Danio rerio: one gene and its partner. The protein of the gene in region 1 purifies or fractionates together with the protein of each later gene. This does not show direct contact. Links are inferred from orthologs where the notes say so. Each region holds a gene or a part of one and is shown on either strand. Other genes may lie near its edges. The genes, in order: atp6v1ab and atp6v1f.

Region 1 (11,691 bases):
AAGTTTACCAATGCTTGGTAAAGCGATGAGAGTAAATACGTTTCAGATGATATTGCAGACTTTTAAAGCAATGGTGCACCACTTCTGTTCATGAAGGGCCCCTTAAAAATACATTTAGTATGTTTTTTTCTAGTGAAACACCTGATTCCCTTCAGCTCCATAGCAGAGACTCTTAATGGGTGTGTCGGATAAATGTGTACTGCTGGAGGCCTTCCAGGAACAGGGCTGGGTACCACTTTTTTACAGATGTGAATTCAAAACTTTAAAATATGAAATATTTTATGATATAAAACAGAATTGGATTTAGAATAAAAATTTAAATATCGCTGACTTTTCTTTATTCTACACACATGGTCACAGCAAACCACTACAGTGAGCTTAACGTAGCATATTAGACATATTTATGCATCGTTTCATCCATCAAACGTTAAAGAATCGTCCTTCATAAAGTGTTTTAAGACCGTATGAACTTGTTCTGTCATTTTCAAAGAGGACATGCTATGCGGCTAAGCTCACTCCATCACGTGTGTCACATTTCAATTCTTACATCAAAATAATCTCACATTAACCCCAACATGACAGCAACAAGCTTTAATACACTGCTATTAAATGTAACGATCCATCTGGGCGCCCATTTGGGAGAGGTTTCAGATTGGCTTGCTAACCAAGATAGCAACTTGAAGACTGACTCAACATTTTCGGATTTAGATTCGACACACGATCCAGTTTGGCACGGACTTCACTCGTGCCGTTTGTACTGGCATAAGATTTAATCTGGTGCTAGATTACATGAGGCACTTTTAAGCTATTTTCTGGAGATTTTGGGAAAAGATTAAGGTAAAACTAGGTGTAAAAACGCGGCGCAAATGTCTCTTCTCCACATTAAGCGCGCAGAGAGCTAACAGCTAGCATTAGAGCAACTCCACTGCCCCCCTGCTGGAAAAAAGAGAATAGAGAGGGGAAAACTTTACTTGAGAGGAATAGAGCCTTCTCTGTCGTCTACTCACCCTTTCATGTTGAAGAAAACACGTTTGTTGTGAGGGATACAGGGGCAGTTGGCGGTATTTGGCAGTCTAAAGGGAAATTTGGGCAGAGTTTGGGATGTGATCCCCTCCACATGTATGTTGCTAGCACACAAGCTAAGCAGTCCGCATTTGCCTCTGTGCTGTGGCCGAAGGTTGCCAAGTCTTTCCTATTAAACCAACACATATAACTTAGATCAGATTGTGAATTAGGAAAACGATATTTTAGTTGTTTTTTATAGTTGATTTATCGATAATGTTCATTTATAGATATAAATTATGTCATATGAGTTGAGATTGAACCCCGAAATAGGCATTTACGACTATACATAAGTAATTAGTCGGTGGTTACTGATGGTTGATTTGGCAACCTTGAATTCTGGGAGGCTGCTGCTGTCAACCTTCACCACTGACAACTAGCAACAGGAAATAGAAAAAAAACGGGAAATTGCGTTTTTGTGACTTAATAATACAAGTCTTATTGTTTTAATCCAAATAAAATGTTGTATAATCTCCTTCTCTAAAGACTTAGAAGGATTTAAAAAAAAATAAAAACATATTTCATGGACGTGATCTAATACAAGAATATTTTGTAAAATAAATAAAAGTGTTGTCCTTGGAATAAAACATTTATCTTCTCCCTGTTTGTGAAACCAGACCAGGTTTTATTGTTTTGAGTTTGTGTTGGCTTGTATTTCAAACTTATATTTAAACTCACAATACCGTGTTCAAAATTACACTGTTAAAAATTCCTTTATTTGCTTATTACAGCAAGATTTTGCCCCTTAGGTTACACAGATTTCACTCCACATATAAATGCATCAACTTGCTGCAATCTGTTGACTTATTATAGGTGCATATATTCATTTAATGTGTTCTAAAATTAAATTAATCTGACATTTTAAATGTATAGTCCATGACTGTCTACTTACACGTAGAAACACCCTTAAAAGAAAATGCCACCAACGAAAGTTACATTTTTAGTTTGAAGGGTGTAAGGTAAAATAATTTATTAATCACAGCATAGTATGCGATAGCCTAATCACTACTCTTCTTGAGTACTTTTAGAAAGGCTACTTTTACTCACACATCGAGTGGTATTTAGAAAACAGATACATTTACAAGTGTCTTGCACTGCATTATTTTGGCAAATAACAGTACTTATGCTTGAGTATGATGTTCAGTACTCTTTCCATCACTGCTTGTCAGGTAAACATGTGTTTTGTCAATTACAATACAATTACAATAGTCAGTTTAAAGGTAGGGGTGGCTTCTTCTTGGTTCGAGTCCCAGTTGAGCCAGTTGGGATTTGTGTGTGGGGTTTACATGTCCTCTCCATGTTCGCCTGGGTTTCCTCTGACAGTCCAAAGACATGCGATATAGGTGAATTGGATAAAACAAAATTGGCTGTAGTGTGTAAGTGTGTGTCAAGAGTTTATAGGTTTTTCACAGTGGGTTGCGGCTGGAAGGGCATCCGCTGAGTAAAACATATGCTGGATTAATTGGTTGTTCATTCCACTGTGGTGACCCCTAATAAAAAGGGACTGAGCCAAAGGAAAATAAACAAATGACTTTAGAAGGCAGTGTTTAGCATATAAGATGATCTGATCTGAACCATGCTGAACCTTTTGACACTTGAATACCAAGACAGAAAAGCCTCCAAAGATGATGCTTAAAATCACTTATTGGCAGAGAACATTTGTCTTTTGACTTGATCTTTCAAAGTGAGCTGAGTTGAGAGAAGAGCAAGCGATGGGAAGGAAGTGTGGAAGGAGAATCAAATTTAAATGACAGATTGAAGGGAAACAAGATTTGTTGGTGTGAAATACACTGTATTTGTACTGTCCATATGAGAAGATCAAAGTATGTGAATTACACTAGATTCAAACGTACGCTCTCTGGTTTCCATTTTCATGTTATATTTTGCAGCAATTTCTCTCTTTTTGGTTAAGCATTATCTCCACTACTTTTTTAAATGGACATTTCTGTTACCTCAAACATGTTACTTGTGAGTTCATTCATTAATTTACCTTCAGCTAGTCCCTTTACTCATCAGGGGTTGCCACAGTGGAATGAACTGACAACTTACCCAGCATATGTTTCACACAATGGATTTCCTTCCAACTCCAACTCAGTACTGGGAAACACCCACACACACCCATTCACACACATCCACTATGGTCAATTTAGTTCATCCTATTGACCTATAGCGCATGTCTTTGAACTGTGGGAGAAATCAGAGCACCCAGAGGAAACCCTCTCCAACACAGGGAGAACATGCAAACTCCACACAGAATGCCAAATGGCCCAGCTGGGACTCAAACCACTGACCTTTTTGCTGTGAGGCGACAGTGCTAACCATTGAGCCATAGTGCCGCCCTAATAGTAAATATTGTACCCTATTAAATTTTTCATCCTTTCCATAAAAAAGTGTATTTGTGTAATCGTCCATGTCTCTGTTATTTATAAAAGCCACAGCACAGTCCCTGTTGAGTTTCTTGGATTATTGTTTAAGTTTTCTTATTCTTTCCTCTAGTGATAATACTGAAATGGGTAACATTATTTAGAAGATCTGTATCTTTACTAAATTAATTTAACATATGCTTACAATATCCTTTAATTTTTTGTTTCATTTTTTATACTTTATTTTAAATATATATATTAAAACTTGCATTTACAAAATGTGTAAATATGAGAAAAAAAATCAAGGACTTGTTAAATAGGTATTTTTAAAACTCAATTTGAAACAAAATTTTAATTATTTGAGTCTAGTAATGGTTAATAAAGAAGGGATTAATGCATGCATAAATGCTGAACCACCTTCACAGCACTATTTTTCCACACACACTAGGGGGCAATGTAGAGTTTCACGCACGCGCAGTTGACCTTTGACCCTGCATAGGGAGACAGGCTGTGACGTCATCTCACAACTGGACTGGACCGACTGAATGAAGTCAGCTGACTTTTCATTGCTGCTCACGTTTCATCTCACTAAAGGACCCAGACTGTCTCATCATCTGAGGTATTTACTCTTTTTTTGGACAACCATAACATTTTCACGCTGTTGCGCTATTGCAGAAATGTACATTTAGATTAGCCAGCCAAAAAATAGGACTAACGTTAGGATTTTCCCCATTCTCTTTGCAGCCATTCATAATCCATAACATTCATAAACAGCTCATTATACTGCTGTATGTAGTGTATAATTGTGTTCTGTGTCGATCTGAATGTCCGCTTCGCCTCAGCGTGCAGCTCATTCTGTTTGCTTAACGTTATTACATGTTTGTTTTTATTGCAGCATTGGGAATAATCCTACTCCGATTGCTGAAATATTTAAATATATTGTATATAAAGAGATTTGAAATGCTTACAAACCTGTGAGATCAATCGGTTTAACTAACGGGACACGAAAAATGAGCAAAGATTTCAGCAAAGGTCAAATTCTATCGCAGCATCGCGATCATGTGATCATGCAGCATCTCTTTACAGATCGATCTCCTAAAGCGGCAAGCATTAAAAATATGTAATACACTGAAATAATGTATATTTAATAATATGTTATGTTTAATCTTGTCGTTTTTGACTTTGAAAAGATTCTATTTGGGCACTGAGATATGTAGTTGCCCGCTTAGAATATTTATCTGCTGCTTTCCAATTAACAACAACACGCTAGGTTTGCTGACTAACTCACATATGCTAAAATTGTCTGTAAACCAACACCCAAACAGGCAAAAGCAAAGTTTTACACTAAATAAACGAATTGTCTCTCTTAATCAAAAATCTCATATGAGCATCATGTGATTGTAAATTCACAAAAACATGGAAGTTCCACTGGTTCCTCATGAGGCTTTTAATAACCAGTAATGGCTATTTTTATGGATGATATTGTCAACGTCATGCGTTTTATTCTAGTCTTTGTGGGATAGTTAGTTGTCTGTTAACTATAAATGATTTGATCAATTTTAATTTAAATTCGGGACTACAAAATATAATGTTATCCACATTTACTCAACAGTTTTTCCTACTTCCTCACCATGATTTCTTTTTTTACAGTCAGTCAGTGTCATGTGCTGCTGGTCATGTGACTGAGTTTCATGTTAGACTTGTATGGAATGCTTTATAATATAAATTGGCTGTTAAACATTTGGTTTCCTTTTGCATTTTATATGACTTAACGTGTAACAGAAAATGTAACAGAAACATAATTTTAAATTATAGCTATGTTTATACCACTATATAGGAATAGGGATAAATACAACAACCACGTGGAGCTTATAGGTCTAGGAAGTGTAATATTAGGTACAGAAAGTAATCCAAATAATCATCTGCTTTATCTTTCCACGTTTTGTATAATTTCATATCAGACACATTAAAAATGGACTTCTCCAAGTTGGCCAAAATCCGAGATGAGGAGCGGGAGGGACAATTTGGATATGTGCATGGTGTATCTGGACCTGGTTAGTACAAATAAAAATGTCATAATATTTGATTTTAATTAATAGGTTACCATGAGTTTTTTTTTTTTACATTTTTTTTTCATTTTATGTTTTTAATATTTAAAGCTTTTAATTTTATTTTTCTCTATTGTTTCCTTTTTTATTTCCTCTTTTTTTTTTGTTAATATGTGACCAAAGCTGTTAATTATTTTTTGTTAATTTTATTTTTTTTCCTAAAGATTTAATTTAATTAATGTGACCATACTTTTTCCTTGTTAGGTTTTTATTAAGTATACCCGAATCTTTGCATTTTATTCTATATTATTGTTTAATTTTGTTGGGATATTATGTTGATAGGGTGTCTATTTTTATATAGTAGAGTTTTTTGTTTTGTTTTTAAATTTTTGTTTATTTTTCTCTTTTTAATAATTTTTTAATGTCACCAGATTTAATGATTTGTTTATTTTTAATTTTAGTTTTGTTGGATTAGTATGACTCTGGGTGCTCCGGTTTCCCCCACAAGTCCAAAAACATTTGGTTTAGGTGAATTGTGTTGGCTAAATTGTCCATAGTGGATGTGTGTGAATAGTTGTGTGTGGATGTTTCCCAGAGATGGGTTGCGGCTGGAAAGGCATTTGCTGCATAAAACATGGTCTGGATAAGTTGGCGGTTCATTCCACTGTGGCGACCCAGATTAATAAAGAGACTAAGCCGAAAAGAAAATGAATGAATGAATGGATTAATATGACACTTCTGATGAACATTTTTATTATAATATTTTTTCAAACCCATCATTTATTGAAGTTTATTTGAATCTTCGAGTCATTCATAGTACAGGTTCCACTAATTGTCACAATTCTTCTACTTGTGTTACAGTGGTGACAGCCTCCAGTATGGCAGGAGCTGCTATGTACGAGCTGGTGCGAGTGGGTCACAGTGAGCTTGTGGGAGAGATCATTAGACTGGAGGGTGATATGGCCACCATTCAGGTCTATGAGGAGACATGTATCCTATTTATTACCTCAGGACATGACACAATTTTAATCCACCTTTTTTCCTACATAATGCTTTTTGTAAATGATGGGAGTATCTTCCATTAGACTAAACAATCAGTGAAGTGTTAAAAAACTGGGTACAATGAGGTGGCATTATTTTCCTCACAGTTTTCCCATCAAATGTCAAAAGGCAACTTACTAGAATTAACAAGCTACCTTATTAGATATGCTTGATAGGGGACGCAGTGGCGCAGTAGGTAGTGCTGTTGCCTGACAGCAAGATGGTCGCTGGTTCGAGCCTTGGCTGGGTCAGTTGGTGTTTCTCTGTGGAGTTTGCATGTTCGCGTGAGTTTCCTCCGGGTGCTCCGGTTTCCCCCACAGTCCAAAGACATGCGGTACAGGTGAATTGGGTAGGCTAAATTGTCCGAAGTGTATGAGTGTGTATGGATGTTTCTCAGAGATGGGTTGCAGCTGTAAGGGCATCCACTGCGTAAAACATATGCAGGAAAAGTAGGTGGTTCATTCTGCTGTAGCGACCTCAGATTAATAAAGGGACTAAGCTGAAAGGTAAATGAATGTATGAGATATGCTTGATAAAGATGTTATTTTCATAGCGGATAAAGCACAATGCCAAGCGTACCTCTCCCACAGTCTTCACTGTGTATATGGATTATTTTTTTAGCACAACTTTATTATTTAAAATGACTACTTTCAATTCATTGGAATATAATCTCAAACTGGTATCAGAAAAAGGTGAATCGCTGCCATAGCTGATGCTCTGTATGTAGAATCTGTCAAACAGTGTTGTGGTTTTCCTGAGCTCTCATCAGCTGGTGTGTCAGTCGGAGACCCTGTCCTGCGCACAGGGAAGCCCCTCTCTGTGGAGTTAGGGCCAGGAATCATGGGCTCCATCTTTGATGGTATTCAGCGTCCCCTTAAAGACATCAACGACCTAACTCAAAGCATCTACATTCCCAGGGGAGTCAACATTGGTGCTCTTAACCGTGATCTCAAATGGGAGTTCACTCCATCAAAGAATTTGCGTGTAAGTGACATTCATTTCTAGTTAAAAGTCTTTTGCAAGTCACCATGGATGAACAGTTGAGATTTACCATTTTAAAATCCATTCAGCTGATCTCTGGGTCTGGCAGGAGCATTTTAGTTTAGCATAGCATAAATCATTGAGTTGGACTAGACCATCAAAAGAGATTTGCTAATTTTCCTATTTAAAGCATGATTCTTCTGTAGGTACATCATGTAATGTAACTGACGGAAAATTAAAAGTTGCTATTTTCTAAGTCAGTATGGCTAGGAGTTATACTCTCATTCTGGTGTAATGATTAAGCAACTTTTTCCCTGCACCACGGCTTTAAATTGGAATATTATCGAAAGACTTTTTGGAAATTTTTGAGTGAGATGCTAATGGTCTAATCTGATGCAATGATTTATGCTAAGCTAAGCTAAAATCTACCTGGCAGACCCAGAGATTGGCTGATTGAATTAAAAAATGGTAAAACTCAGCTGTTTAACTCTAAGTGACTTGTAAAATGAGTCTATTTTCAAAAAAAGATGTTCAAATTTAATTTTATTGTAATTAATGCTAAAAGAGCTTTTGGTTGTTTTATATAAAATTAAATATAGTTAGGGTGCATACCTAATGAATTGTTTCCACTCAATTAAATTTAGGCAGCTCAGCATTACACTTAACAGTCTCTGAAATAATCTCTTTAAAATAACACCAACACAATAACAAAAAGGAATCACGTGATTAGTCAAATGATGAAGTGATTTAAATGATTTTTCATGTGTCCAGGTTGGCAGTCACATCACTGGAGGTGATATTTATGGGAACGTGTTCGAAAACTCTCTCATTAAACATAAAATCATGTTACCCCCGAAAAGCAGAGGAACCGTCACATACGTCGCACCACCTGGAAACTATGATGTCTCGGTGAGGCCGATAACATGCAAACATTTTCCAAAAAAACAGGAAAATTACCATTACTGTGATGTATAATTCAATGTTTGTGTGTTATTGTTAGGATGTGGTGTTGGAGCTGGAGTTTGAGGGGGTGAAAGAGAAGTTCACTATGATGCAGGTGTGGCCGGTGCGTCAGGTGCGTCCCGTCACAGAGAAACTTCCTGCAAATCACCCTCTGCTGACTGGACAGAGAGTCCTGGATGCCCTCTTTCCGTGAGTCATGCTTTCTGAAATACTTCTGTATTATAATAATAAATCCAGGTTTTTCATAATAGTAATGCTGGTTCACAAAGTCATTTTTCATGTAAATATTTTAACTTTTAAAATTACGCATATTAGACAGTTGATAAATATCTAAAGCCAAATTTTCATATACATACATGCATACATACACACATACATGCATATATATATATATATATAATATATATATATATTAGGGTTGGGCATCTAAGCTATAATGCCGATCCGATACGCATCTCGATACAAAGAATACGATCCGATATATTAGCGATACATTTGTGACATATTGCGATGCAACACGATACGATTCACACCCATATCACGATACAATGCGATATTTCAGCACTAATTAGATCAAGTTTATGAGATGATGTGAAAGAGGATGCTGTGCCATTGAATGAGTTTGATTATTTATAAACCAAGCAAAACCAAGACTTTTTTTTACAAACTGGCTCTTCTCTCAGAGCCAGAGTGTCAGTTTACAGTAGAGGGCCATTTTAGAACATATAGCACATATTATTTAAGTATTTTCAAGATAAACAGAATGTATAAGTGCAATATCAATTAAAAAATATGTATATATTTGCACTCTTTCAACATAAATAAATTTAGCAATGCACAACAAGAATTGTGATTTAACTTTTCAACTATGAAAACAAGTTTTACAAAGATATATTTTGCCACTGATTATTCAAAACTTAAGGTTGTGAACTAGCAGTGTTATGCTGCTTTGAAACATCACTGTCACTGTAAACAACAGGCTAATAAAAATATAACAAACCAGCAATCTTCTTGCTGTGAGGTGGTCAAACTACCCACTGTGCCACCGTGACACCCAATTATTTTTATCATTATTATTATTAATATTATTATTATTATAATTAAATAAAAATTAACAGGAGGAGGTGTTTAAAACCTTCGTTCTCCGTGACACTAGGCTGAATATCTTTGCAGATGAACAATGCAATAGCATTCGTTATTGGCGTAGAGCGAGCAGAACTGTTGCGCACGGAAAAAAAACTTGCAATGCTTTTCTCACCACTTTTGGAGCTGGTTGAAGCAGTGCGAAAGCCGGGGATGCAGAAACACTGGAAGATGCTTTCACAACAACACCGTGGCGCTGCTTCAAGTGAGATTTCAGATTAGTCGTACTGCCCGCGTATTTTACAGATGCGCGGCACATTTTGCAAATTGCATCTGTCCTGTCATGTCGTCCATCCTTAAATCCATAATGTTGCTTGCCATACTTTAGATTTAAAACTCAGTGGGGAATAAAATGTTTGTTTTGCTTCTCGCACTTTCTGAGGGCGCTCCACTAGCTTCATCCGCACACCTGATACACTGAGTTGTAGTGTGTGCACATCCGCAAATCTGTTGCTAAGGCTTACTTTATGTAGGTCGATTAAATTATGCGCCAAAAACAGGTTGACAACACTTGTTAATAAATAAAAAATACATTCTATATTAAAAATATAAGCTGTATCTCGGAAAAATCGATGCATCTCGCAAAAACCGATGTATCTCGATTTGCTTCCAAAATTTCATTCGTCCTCTGCTGCTCAACCGATGCACTCGCATCGTGCACGCGCATGACCGCGTATCGATACATATCGGTTAATCTTCCCATCCCTAATATATATATATATATATATATATATATATATATATATATATATATATATATATATATATATATATATATATATATATATATATATATATATATATATATATATATATATATGAACAACATTAAAATAACTATAAAGTGGCAAAAGATAAAAATAAAACATGTACTATTGTAATATATTGTAGGATTATGATAGGATTTATTTGAAATTTATTGCATTTAATCCTGCATGAATTACTATTACTAAAATTAATATATGTAACTTAACAAGGACAAATGTAAAATAAAGTGTTACCATATATCTAAACACCATGGAATTTTTCTGAAATTGTATACAAGATGTTTTAAAATGATATTATAATTGGAATATTTTTGTTTTTCATTAATATTCAATATATTAATCTTTTTGTTTTTACATTTATGTTAGTTTTTATTTTCTCCAATTATAAAAGGTAAGATGTTCAAAAGCTTGAAGTTTTTTATATAGTAAAATGTAACTCAATATTCTGAAATATTTATTTTTATTCATATTTGATGAATAAAAAGTAAATTTTTTGTAACCTTGCAAATGTTTTAACAGTTTATTTTTTATTTTTTTTGGTGCAGTAGGTAATTGTCTTCAGAATTCTTTGCTGTTTTGGTTGAAAGTCTCTTCACATTCCAATAGTAATGATCAAAGTAAATAATCTAAACATATTTATATGTATTTTTATATTCTGGGTAAGGCATAAAACTAAAACAAATGTTCATCCAATTAAATATTGTCAGGCTGACAATTCCCATAACTCTAAGTAGCTCAAGTTGTCTGTCAGCAAATGTAGATTTGAACATCTGCTGCCGTTCATTCAGATCCACCATTTGGCGGGCACACATGTTCACCTGCACACGAGACGAGAGACAGAGAGAGCAAAACAAATGCTCAATCAAAACTTTTTAAAATCCTGAATCAATATTGGAGTTTCTTTAGCACGGTGAAGGAAGGACGACACCATGGCTGAAGTATTTCTTTTAGACAGGTCATGTTATGCTTTAAAACTATTTTAGTCACGCAAAGCTGATGTAGATTGTGTTGTTGTTACGAATGGGTTAAATGCACAGTAGTGTTGTTCAACAACTGTAATCTCCTGGCGAAAGATTGATGTGACTATTTTCAGTTTCATTCGAGTCCTTTTACAGCATCGATAATGTAGATTTTAATTTAGTTTAACAACAAAACATAAGTAAATAGCGCCTAGCCTGCTTTACTGAGCTAAAGTTGTTTTTATATTCACATCACATTGGTTCATTTTTGAACAATGACAACCTGTGACACGCTCCCTATATTGTTTAACATGCTACTTTGAATATTCGGTTTGAAATAGCATGTAAATATGGCCTAGTAATA
Region 2 (11,411 bases), on another chromosome or scaffold:
AAAAGGAGTAATATCTATAAATCATTTTAGCAGCCTTCTTAATTAAGGAATTATTTTACACAGGCCCGGATTGGCTAATCGGGAGGACCGGGAGAATTCCCGGTGGGCCGGTCTGTTTTTTGGCCGCGAGATCCGGTTTCCCTAGCTCCAGAATCTGATGCTCTCAGCAGTCACATTTTTAAAATTTATTTATTTATTTACTTGACCGCAGCCTTTTTATTCATTATTTTACCGCAGCTCTGCTTTTTTATCTATTTTCTCGCAGCTTCGTGAGCAAGATGCAGCCTGCAGGTTAATGAGTCAGATGAGTCACTACTGTATGTGTAGGTTGTGGTCCAGTGGGTCGCACATTAGGTTACGATGTCGCTGACCCGGGTTTGATCCTCGACTAAGGAAAGTTTTTTTTTCATATTTATTGTTAAGACATATAATACTGTTAGGGTTGTTGAACATTTGAAGTTGTAAAGCAGCTGTTTTTTAAAAAAAAAGACATGATAGTGTCATTAGAAACTGATTTGGAAATGACCTTATTTTAATATAGTCAGTCATGAACTGAGGTGGGCCGGTCTGAGGCTTGAAACTCCAGGGCTGAAAAGGAGTCCCACTCCGGCCCTGATTTTACTTCCATATTTAATCACGTTAACCACAGGTAAAACCAAACACAACCCCACTTCAGTGCTAAAAAGTTCTTATATTTGGATAAATTAAGAAATTATAAATGGTTTCTATGCAGTCTTTTGAAAAAATGCACAAAGCAAAGGTCTTTCAACTTTGTCAAAGCATTAATAGTGAAGAATTACTAAAATAATGGACCGGTTTGTAAATGTAGTGCAGTAGAGGAAATATTGAAACAGACTTTGCTTCTTTAAACTTTTGCAATAAGTTCCTGTTTTAACGTCTTTTCTGCATGTTGCTTCCTCATTTTTCTTTCCTGTGTCACCCTTTCCAGTTTTGCTATACATTTAAAAATCTCATCACAATATTAGTCAATTGGATTTGCACACATTAAAAGCAATAACAATAGAGAGAAACATATATGGAAACCTTTTTTCTTTTTTTCTTTTTTTTTGCCAGCTGATAAATAAAATAACTATTGACATCAATGATCTGCCAAAAACTGGAGCATTTAAAGCATCGGAGAATAAATAACTCTGTAGCTTATAATAAGCATTATACAATACATAAGTAGATAGCAGTTATCTTGATAGTTATAATTCTCTGACTCTCCAGACTTTCTCTCATAAAGCACACAACATTAAACAATAATAATAATGAAAAAAATGTATTCATTTAAATATATTGTTATATTTAATGAGTTATCTCCTAACTGAGTATAAAACATATGTTGTTTTGGGATTAATTAATTAAACAAGATAAACATACATACTGTACAATAGTATAAAAGAGGGAAATAGATTAAAATGTAACCAATCTATAAAATAACCAACAGAGACCTTAATTGTGCCCAATGTCATGTTGAGCCAGCATATGTTCTCATATGTTTTGGTTAAAATTAAAAACTTTCTAGAAGCTAGAAGGTTAATATTGCTCAAATGGAAGGATAAATCCTTTCCAACCTTTAAGCAATGGCTTACAGACCTTTTAACCTCGGAAAAATATGATGCGTTATAAAAGGGGTGTACTAAGATGTCTTATCTTACTTGGCAACCTGTTTTAGATCACATTAAGAAGATGAACCCTTAAGTTATTTTAGAAGAAACTAATAATATCATTATTTATTTGTATTTTATTTTAATATTCATTCATTTTCTTTTCGGCTTAGTCCCTTCATTAATCAGGAGTCGCCACAGCGGAATTAACCGCCAATATGTCCAACATATGTTTTACGCAGCGAATGCCCTTCCAGCTGTAACCAAACAGTGAGAAACACCCAAAACAGATTGCAATACAGAATAATGCAATACAGATTGCAGATTTAACAATCTAACTCTAAATGTTTCAGATTTATTGAATCTAACTGTTCAATAAAAACACTTTTGAGAAAAAGAAATACAAAAATAACAAAAAGATTAGATTAAATAATTTATACAAAAAATCTTCCAAATATAATTCAAATTAAATATATATTTTATATGAATAATGCAAATAAAATAAGTATTATAATGCAAAAAGTACTAAAAATACACTTAGATTTTCCACAAAAAATTTTAAACCCATTCAATAATCAAATGTGCATAGTATTTTATTTAATACATTACTGTTAATGCAATTATTCAAAGACGTGCACCTGCAAAAAGCATTCAGTGCACTCTCTTTCACTACAAGCTCTCACACTTTACATTAAAAATGAAACATGAAATCCATAATGAAAGTTGCAATTATAACACCATAATTATATATTGATGGAAAGAAACTGCTTCCTTGGCTAATACATCATTTCTGCATAAAATATGATGCAATGAATCCTTTAATCTATAGCTTAATGGATTATTGGAGTTAAATGTTAATGCAAATCTATAATGATGTCCAGCAATACTATAATTGTGACCACTCAAGTATGAAAGGGACTAAAATATAAAAACAATTTAATCCTGTATCCAAAAAAAAGAAATCAGATGAACCATGTAACATCATAATCTAATAAGAGAAACACATGAACTTACTTTGGCTCAGGTCAAATACACCTGACATCACCAAAAGGCCCCCAAAACATTGCAAAATTTCACCTTAAGAAAGAAAGAGAGTGTGATTGTGCTAAACATCGGGTGGTTGTAAAGACGGGGTCATTTTTATGTGAGGGCACCATTTTGAGCTTGTAATAGTGGGAAAGATCAGTCCATATTATCCTCTTTACTACACGATAACAGGCTCCCGCTGGTTGTTCTGCCTTTTCACTACGAAAACCTTCTGTCCGGAGATGGTCACAGCATAGACGTAGTCTTCAAACATCACTGACATCAGACAAAAAAGGAAAGAAAAAAATATACATTAATATCAGTATTTGTTTGGAAGTTATGGATTTTCACAGCAAGTAAAAATGATTTACTGTAAAATAGTAAATGATCATATATCAATTATTTCTTATTGAATAAATTTAATTAAAACAACAAATTAAAGAGGGTTATTTTATTTTATTAGGGCTATTTTGTTCCTAAACAAAATCAAGAGGATAAAAAAAGACTTAAAATGGTTACACATGAAACCATAAAAACTAATAAAACCTTTTTTTTTTTAAACAGACCTATTTAAAAACACAACTGATAGAAATACATAACAAAATTGCTTAAACTTTAAATAGAAAAAACACAAAATGTAAAGATAAAAACTATTTCAAACTGTAAAAATATCTGGATAATACTTAAACCTAATGTTACAAATAAACACTAATACTACAGTGATATCTGAATATTACATAAACCTGATGTTACACAAGCATGTTTACTTTAATAATTCACATCACATTTTTTGAAAATTAAATGACAAAATATGAGTGAAATATTGTTCTATCATCATTCAGCATTTATCTAAAAATGAAGTGCGTTTCTTACCAGACATGCGCTTGAATGGGGGCTCTGCAGTCCCATGTAATCTGAAGCGACAAGCTGTTCGGACCATCTGCATGATCACTCCTGCTGTGTGCTCGTCATTCTCCAGCTCTCCTGCCGACTGTAGATTACAAAAAACATTCACTTACTGCTTAACTGAGACAAGTGGAGTCATTATTAATCCCCCTATGATATTTTCTTTTTTAAATATTTCCCAAATTATGTTTAATAGAGCAAGGACATTTTCACATTATTTCATATAATATTGTTTCCTCTGGAGAAAGTCTTATTTGTTTTATTTTGGCCAGAATAAAAGCAGCTTTTCATACCATTTTAACTCAATTATTATTACCCCCCCCCCCCCAAGCAATATATTTTTTTAACTTGTCTACAGAACAAATTATTGTTAATTAAATTACTAATTAAACTAAGTATCTTCCTTAACCTAATTAACCCAATTAAGCCTTTAAATTGAACTTGAAGCTGAATACTATTATCCTGAAAAATATGTAGTAAAATAGTATGTACTGTCATCATGGCGAAGATAAAAGAAATTCATTAGTTATTCAATCTATTATGTTTAGAAAAGTGTTGAAAAAAAATCTCTCTGTAAAACAGAAATTGGGGAAAAATATAAAAGATTTAAAATTAAACAGCAAGGCTAATAATTCTGACTCAACTGTAAATGATAAATTGATTATATGATTAAAACATAGAACCTATCGAATATATAGAAAGAGACAGAGAGAGAGATAACCCCTTGAGCCAGGTGTGTCCAACAGACAGACAGACAGACAGACAGACAGATAGATAGATACAGTTAAAGGCACAATTATTGGCAATAAATAAATATTTTCCTTTTTTAATTTATTTTCATGAAGGCTGTTCAAAAGGAAGAAGATTTCTCAACACATTTTTAAAAATAATAGTTGTAATATATATATTTTTTAACAGAATCTGTCTTTGCCATGATAACACTGCATAATATTTTGCTAGTTATTTTACAAGATATTAGAATTCATCTTAATGAGTAACTTAAAGGCTTAACTTGGTTAATAAGTTTAACTAGGCAAGTCATTGAATACCATTATTTTGTTCTAAGGGCCTATTAACCTATTAAAATTGTTATTTTTTTATTTAAAAACTGCTTTTATTCCAGACAAAATAAAAGAAATAAAAAATTTTCTCAAGAATAAAAATATTATAGAAAATACTGTGAAAATGTCATTGCTCAGTTCATCATAACTTGGGAATTTTTTTTTAAATAATATGTATCAGTAGAGGCGTAATAATTTTGCCTCAAAGTGTAGACAGGCAAACAGAGACAGACAGAACAATAAGACTGACAGACATTGAATTCTAATTAATTATTTCTCATTTGCCCAAATCAGGATTCTCTTTTCAACGCATTTCACCCTCATGTCAAGTTCTCCGAAAATGTAAGTTATGAATTTTAACAGCTTACCGCGAGTACTCCGTCTTCACTAATAACCAAGTACCCAAGTTGATCGGGTATTCTCTCCAAGCCTTGAGTCAAAGCAGTAGTCTGACATTCAACACACGATAATACTGTAATTAAACACTAACAGAGCTCATATGATATTAGACTGCATCATCAATCACATTATTTACAAAATCTTTGTTTTATAAGTTCTAAATGCACTAAAACAAAACATTTAATAAAAAAAACATTTAATTAAACAAATATTTTAAAGGTAAGAATTATATTTACCATTTTAGACAGTGCAGATAAATGTACACTGCTGTTTTCCTTCACACCCCGCCTCACGTGACTGACATCAAGCGTCGCGTGTTTATAACGTCATTCCAGGAGATGTTTTGCTTATTCGACATTATTTTTGTTTATATGCATTGGAAACGTACAAAATGTGATAAAAAATCTTAGTATGACTAAAACGTGGCGGATTTTTATTTAATTTGCTAGGATTTATGCGCTGTTCTCGCATTTAACAAAAAATAATCTGTATCAGGATCAGATTCGCTGTCATAATCACCGCACACAGGTCGGTCGTTAACGCGAGCAGCACAGATCTCAGATCAGCTAAATAAGGCGCTTACGCGACTACGCAAAGCGGAAGTGAAGTGGTCAGCTGATTAAAGCATATGATCCTGCTGAACGGAAAACATTTCGTCCATTCTGCGTCTTTTATTTGAGCAAAATATAAGACAAAGTCACGATGCCCGGACGAGGAAAATTAATCGCAGTTATCGGTGATGAAGACACGTGCACCGGATTTCTCCTCGGAGGGATCGGAGAGCTCAATAAAAACCGTAAACCCAATTTCTTGGTGGTGGAGAAGGAAACCAGCGTTACAGAGATAGAGGAGACCTTCAAGTAAGTGACACGATCCTAAATGTCTGAATGACTCAACATCATATATTACAATCTAATTATCAAATATGTGTCATTACAAATATATGGATGAAGACTTGCTTTTTAAAAAAATATTTATGTTTATCTATCTATCTATCTATCTATCTATCTATCTATCTATCTATCTATCTATCTATCTATCTATCTATCTATCATATCAGCCAAATATTTTAGAAAAAACATTTATATATAAATTATTTTTATGTAGTAATAATTACCTAAATTTGTCAAGAAACCCACTTAAATGTCTTTTAGTTTAACAATATTTTATATACACCAGTAAACTGTCAATCATATTTGCAAGAAACTATTAAAGACATATCAAACTATTAATATTATGAATTACAGTGCAGCCCCTATTGACAATTGTCATTTAAATATCCTTTGTCACTATTCTTCAAACTACTGATCAATTTTGAATAATTTAAATATAAGAACATGTTTGTCTGATCTCTTCTTATTCTGACGATAGATCATTTTGAGGAATGTAAACAAAAACAAATGTTCCAACGTATTTTCTGTTTTACATTTTTAATTTTTATAGCTTACGAGAATCTAAAAAGAGCCTGCTTATTGATAAATAATGTTATGATAGCTTTTTTAGAATTAAGTTATTATTCAATTGTTTCTTTGATATCAAGCATAGGCCAATGTCATCACCACAATGAAATGGTCTATATGAATAAGTACAAGTCCAAGTCAATATGTAGTTTGGTATTTACATAAATATGCAATAATGTCTGATTTTGATTATAATTTCACCCATGCTTGCATTTAATTTTCAGAAGAGTTATTTGAAACATCAAAGTATGCGCTGTATATGCATTTAATACAATAATAAAATTATATTATGTATAACACCTTAGTAGACATACAGAAAAAAATGTCTTACTAACACATATATTATGCATTAATATATACAGTAAACATTACTTTTCCCAATAACCTTTTGAATTGTAATTTTTGGATTAACAAATAGATGCAGAGAATAGTAGATTTTTGTAATTGTACAATTTTTTTTCTGTCAACATTAACTACAGCATGTCTGTCGTTTATGACTAACAGGAGTTTCCTTGCTCGCAATGACATTGGCATCATCCTTATCAACCAGTTCATCGCAGAGATGATTCGACATGCCATTGATGCCCACATGCAGTCCATCCCGGCTGTGCTAGAGATTCCCTCAAAAGAGCATCCATATGATGCCTCCAAAGACTCCATCCTGCGACGGGCCAAGGGTATGTTCTCTGCAGAGGACTTCCGATAACCTGTTACTACCCATGCAGGCTCACAGTCTGGCCTGAGCAGATGAAGGAGTTGGGTATTCTCATCCATCTCGCTGAAACTGAAAAGCATATTATGAGGAGTAAATAATGATGTGTGTTTAATCAATGTTCTGTGATGTATTTTTTGCCATTCCCAAGGAAATAGTTTTTGTCAGTGCTCCTACTAATAATTATTTTAAAATATATGTTTAATATAACAATCATATATATCATATATAAAAATTCAATATATTATGAATTTCCTTTTAAATGCTGTCACTTTAATATTTAAGTTCCTGAATGTCTTTCTCAAACTTGATAATATTAGACAGAAAACAAACTCTCTACATCTGTTACTGTAAATTGGTGTGCTATGCATATATTTTTTCCTCATTGTATTGGTCATTGTTTTGAAGCATTTCAAAGAAGCTTTCCTCAATGTGATGCAATTAAAATGTGTTCAAAGTATGTGATTTGCAGTTATTAAAGGTAATTGGAGTATTATGCTCTATTGATACTGTGGTGATGGAAAATAAATATTAAGGTAAAATATGCAAATACAAAAAAGACTAGAATAATGCAAATAGAAATGCAAATAATGCATATAAAAATATGATGATTTGGTCATGTTAAAATTCAATCAGCCAATCACATGTCAGCAATAAAATGTGTTTAGGAATCTATGTGGTCATGATGATTTAACGTGACTAGGGATTTTAGAGAACAGTCAGATAAATGTCCCGAGTGGATCTATGTGGGTAAAGAGAGTTTGTTTGTGACAGAAATCAGAATAGCATGGAATAACACTTTAGAATAATGCTACATCAGTTCATGCATCTACTAACATGAACTAAGTAGGGGTAATCTTGAAAATAATTTATTAACCATTAGTTCAACATTTACTAATGCATTAATAATAGCCGAAGTTGGTCTTGTTAACATTGGTTAATGCACTGAGTTAACATCAACTAACACTCTTTAATTAAATTAACTTTATTAACTTTAACAATGATGAATAAGTACTGAATGTATTACTAATTGTTTGTTCATGTTAGTAATACATTTATTATGGTATTTTAAAGTGTTGCCAATCTTGGACAGACACAAGCACTGATCAAAATTAAAGTCTAGAGAGTGAACACTGACACTGATCAAAACAGACTCTGAGACTGCACACACAACGCATAAAATATTGCAGGAGAAGAGATACCTGTGACACTCCAGTCATTTAAAAACAAAAAACTGAGTCTACAGTTTGCGCACTCTTTTACGCACTCTTTTACAATATTAGTACAATAGAAAACTGGAAAATGGTTGTCTAATATGATGAGTCTTCTGCTCTGACATTAAGATAGTTTTAGAATTGGTTTGGTTTAAACAACATGAATGCATGAATCAATCTTGACTTATTTGAATGGATCAGGATTCTGCTGGTGGTGTAATGGGGAAAAGGATATTCCTTATATCCTTGTCATTGAGTTATATATCAAGGCCCTTATTCACTAAGTATCTTAAGGATAAAAGTAGCTCCTAACTTGCTATATAAACATTTTAGAAATCCTTGATGGTAGTTAGCTTTTAACAGCGTATTCTCATATGGTCAGAAATGGTATGAAATATATTTTTGAATTTATAAAATACAAATTTAAAGATATATTTGCTTAAATATTTTCTAAGCAAATACATTAATTTGTACCATTAGAAGTAAATCTTTATTTAATGTCTAATACATTAAAAGCAAGAACATAAAACTTTGTCTAGCCACCTTTTTAAAACCTTTAATTGAACATGAAATAAAATACAACATATTTTGCGCTCTACAGAATTTTCAGACTCCTCCGTTCCATCAGCCAATCACTGTCTGGATAGTTAGTAATCATGCTGACATAGCAATGAGGTCCATGCTCTCACTCTTAGCTTAAAAGGTCTCAGCAGCTGTCAACACATTTTAATATTACATGTCATTTTTACTGCTATTTAGGAGGTAAGAAATAATTGTGCCTACGAGCTCAGGTATATCATCATGCTGGCAACAAACACACATGATGTTGGTTGTATAAACTGCTTTGTTTGTTGCAGGTTCCTGAAAATCCTGTGTATCATCACTGACTGTACACTCACACTATGGAAGTCTAACAGAAATCTGACTACTAATATATCTCAGTCAAACACTTAACAATGATGAGAGCAAGTGATTCATTGATTCTTCGGTGGCTTTTACACCGTCGCTGTCAGATCCTGAATATTTTAGGGAACATTGGTCACATCTATCTTGTCCATTATTTAAACTGTCTTATCTAAGGACAAAACCTACTCTTACCTGTGGGAATCACACATCATACATACAGATTCCTGGTAGATTAAAGAGCATTTAAATGGAAAGAGGATGAAATATAAGCTCAAATCAACTTTGTTCTGCTTCATTCACAATCACTCTGTTCAGTAAATCGGTTCTGCTGTTTGATCAACAACATGATTTCTGTTTGGATTTTAAGTTCTCTGATCCTCAGCTACACTTTTGGGGGTCCCATCTTCAAGAACATAAGGTAAGATATGTTTTCATGCTATATTTTGTCTATGAACATTTTTTTCCACCATATTGAATTTCATATATTTTATTTCAGCAGTGGCTCGAATATGGAGATTTCTCCCAATGCTACAAAGAGCAACTTAACAGAGTTTACTACTCCGACAAACATGTAAAGAAAATATATATGGTTATATTGTGAGTTCTACAGAATGCTAAAATAATGCTTGTATCTAACTCAAACTTTTTTTTCTTTTGTAAACAGGTCTGTAAGGCCTTCAAAATTCTTGTAAGTCTTGTTTTTTTTTTTTAAATGCATATTATATTATATTATATTATATAATATTATATTATATTAGATTAGATTAGATTAGATTAGATTAGATTAGATTACTAGTGTCTAAACTAGTAGACATTACCCATAGACACTTTAACCGACAAAAACACTACATTTATGAAGTGTGTTTCACACAGGTGAGTGGTATTGACAAACATCTATCTCTGTCTTTCTCTCTCTCTCTCTCCCCCTTAAAATAACGAAAAACTCTAGCACTTTTACTCTAGCACTAAATTCCCTGAGCACAAACAAGTTCTTTGTATAACTAGTGCTTCTTTTGTGTAATACCTCATCTTGTTTAATCACTAAACGCCTTTTCAATTGTAAGATGCTTTGGACAAAATCATCTGCTAAATGACTAAATGTTAATGTAACTCAAAGTTAAATAAAAATGTGTTTTCATATTGCAGACTGACTCAAAAACCTTTCACAACACACATATTCACCATCACAGAATGCCATAACTGTTACTGACCGTATTTCCGCACAAATTCAATCAGGATAATTGTTGGTCTACAGCGAGTTCTTGTGAACTAAGTGAAATTTATTGATTTGCATTTAAGTTATGTTGGATTTGCTTGTACATAATAAAAATAATAGTTTAAAAAGGTTTTGAAATCTAAAAGTGCTGTAAGATGTATTTACTCAAGTAAATGCTGTTTTTATAAATTATAGCATGTCACAAATCTATCAATTGTGTTACTTCTATAACAAAAAGTAACTAAATACGGATCTGCAGTTGTATAATAGTAATTTTTGTAATATGTAACTAAAGCATTTAAAGTGTTTCCATATAAGGCGATGGGCTTAAGTAAAATAAAATTAAATAAATTTTCACAATGTTAATTAGCAACTGTGATGTGTGATCTTTATATTCAAAAGCAAAGTGAATGTTAATTAAAAGAGTTAGCATTTGTCTTTTATAACAATAGAATAAATCTTTCCAAAGTAATTGTTAATTAGTTTATTAATATGCATGCAACCCTTGTAACATTTCAGAAAGAATGCTTGTTTTGTTCCTAATTAAACTCATATTAAATATATATTGTGTTACGGTTAGGGTTAGGTCCTGGTCTTTGTTAGACCACTTTAATTTAAAATGCCAAGCTAAACTAGAGCCATTGGCAGCTCTGGTCCATTTTCACTGACAAATCAAACCTAAAATAACAACAGTAAACTCAAACAAATGACTTCCTGTCTCGTTCTGGCATTTTCTGCATCACCCTTTCTTTCTGACACACACCAGATTTAAAATTTGCATCACATAAAAATGGCCTTTAAATGATTTCATTATAGTGACAAAAGGATCCTTTCAAAATATTTCTATTGTGCCTGAATTTCCTTTCATTTCAGGCGAAGGTGTTTTCTGTCCACTTGTGCC

Evidence for each region.
Region 2: the proteins of atp6v1ab (region 1) and atp6v1f fractionate together in Homo sapiens (co-fractionation; 3 studies listed by BioGRID and IntAct, with this or other methods). This does not show direct contact. The link is inferred for Danio rerio from reciprocal best matches to the Homo sapiens genes ATP6V1A and ATP6V1F.

The regions. Positions count from the first base shown.
Region 1 is NC_133199.1:25,044,659-25,056,349, reverse strand, and holds the start of atp6v1ab (V-type proton ATPase catalytic subunit A), read left to right. Parts: upstream 1-3,982; 5' UTR 3,983-4,044; intron 4,045-5,386; 5' UTR 5,387-5,397; coding exon 5,398-5,479; intron 5,480-6,334; coding exon 6,335-6,463; intron 6,464-7,283; coding exon 7,284-7,498; intron 7,499-8,266; coding exon 8,267-8,404; intron 8,405-8,495; coding exon 8,496-8,647; intron 8,648-11,691. Other genes in the region: naa50 (N-alpha-acetyltransferase 50), read right to left, coding at 1,008-1,015. UniProt on the Homo sapiens protein: Catalytic subunit of the V1 complex of vacuolar(H+)-ATPase (V-ATPase), a multisubunit enzyme composed of a peripheral complex (V1) that hydrolyzes ATP and a membrane integral complex (V0) that translocates protons.
Region 2 is NC_133179.1:20,639,812-20,651,222, reverse strand, and holds atp6v1f (V-type proton ATPase subunit F), read left to right. Parts: upstream 1-5,600; 5' UTR 5,601-5,704; coding exon 5,705-5,862; intron 5,863-6,966; coding exon 6,967-7,168; 3' UTR 7,169-7,699; downstream 7,700-11,411. Other genes in the region: ragulator complex protein LAMTOR4, read right to left, coding at 2,815-2,912, 3,510-3,627, 4,972-5,088, 5,239-5,241. UniProt on the Homo sapiens protein: Subunit of the V1 complex of vacuolar(H+)-ATPase (V-ATPase), a multisubunit enzyme composed of a peripheral complex (V1) that hydrolyzes ATP and a membrane integral complex (V0) that translocates protons.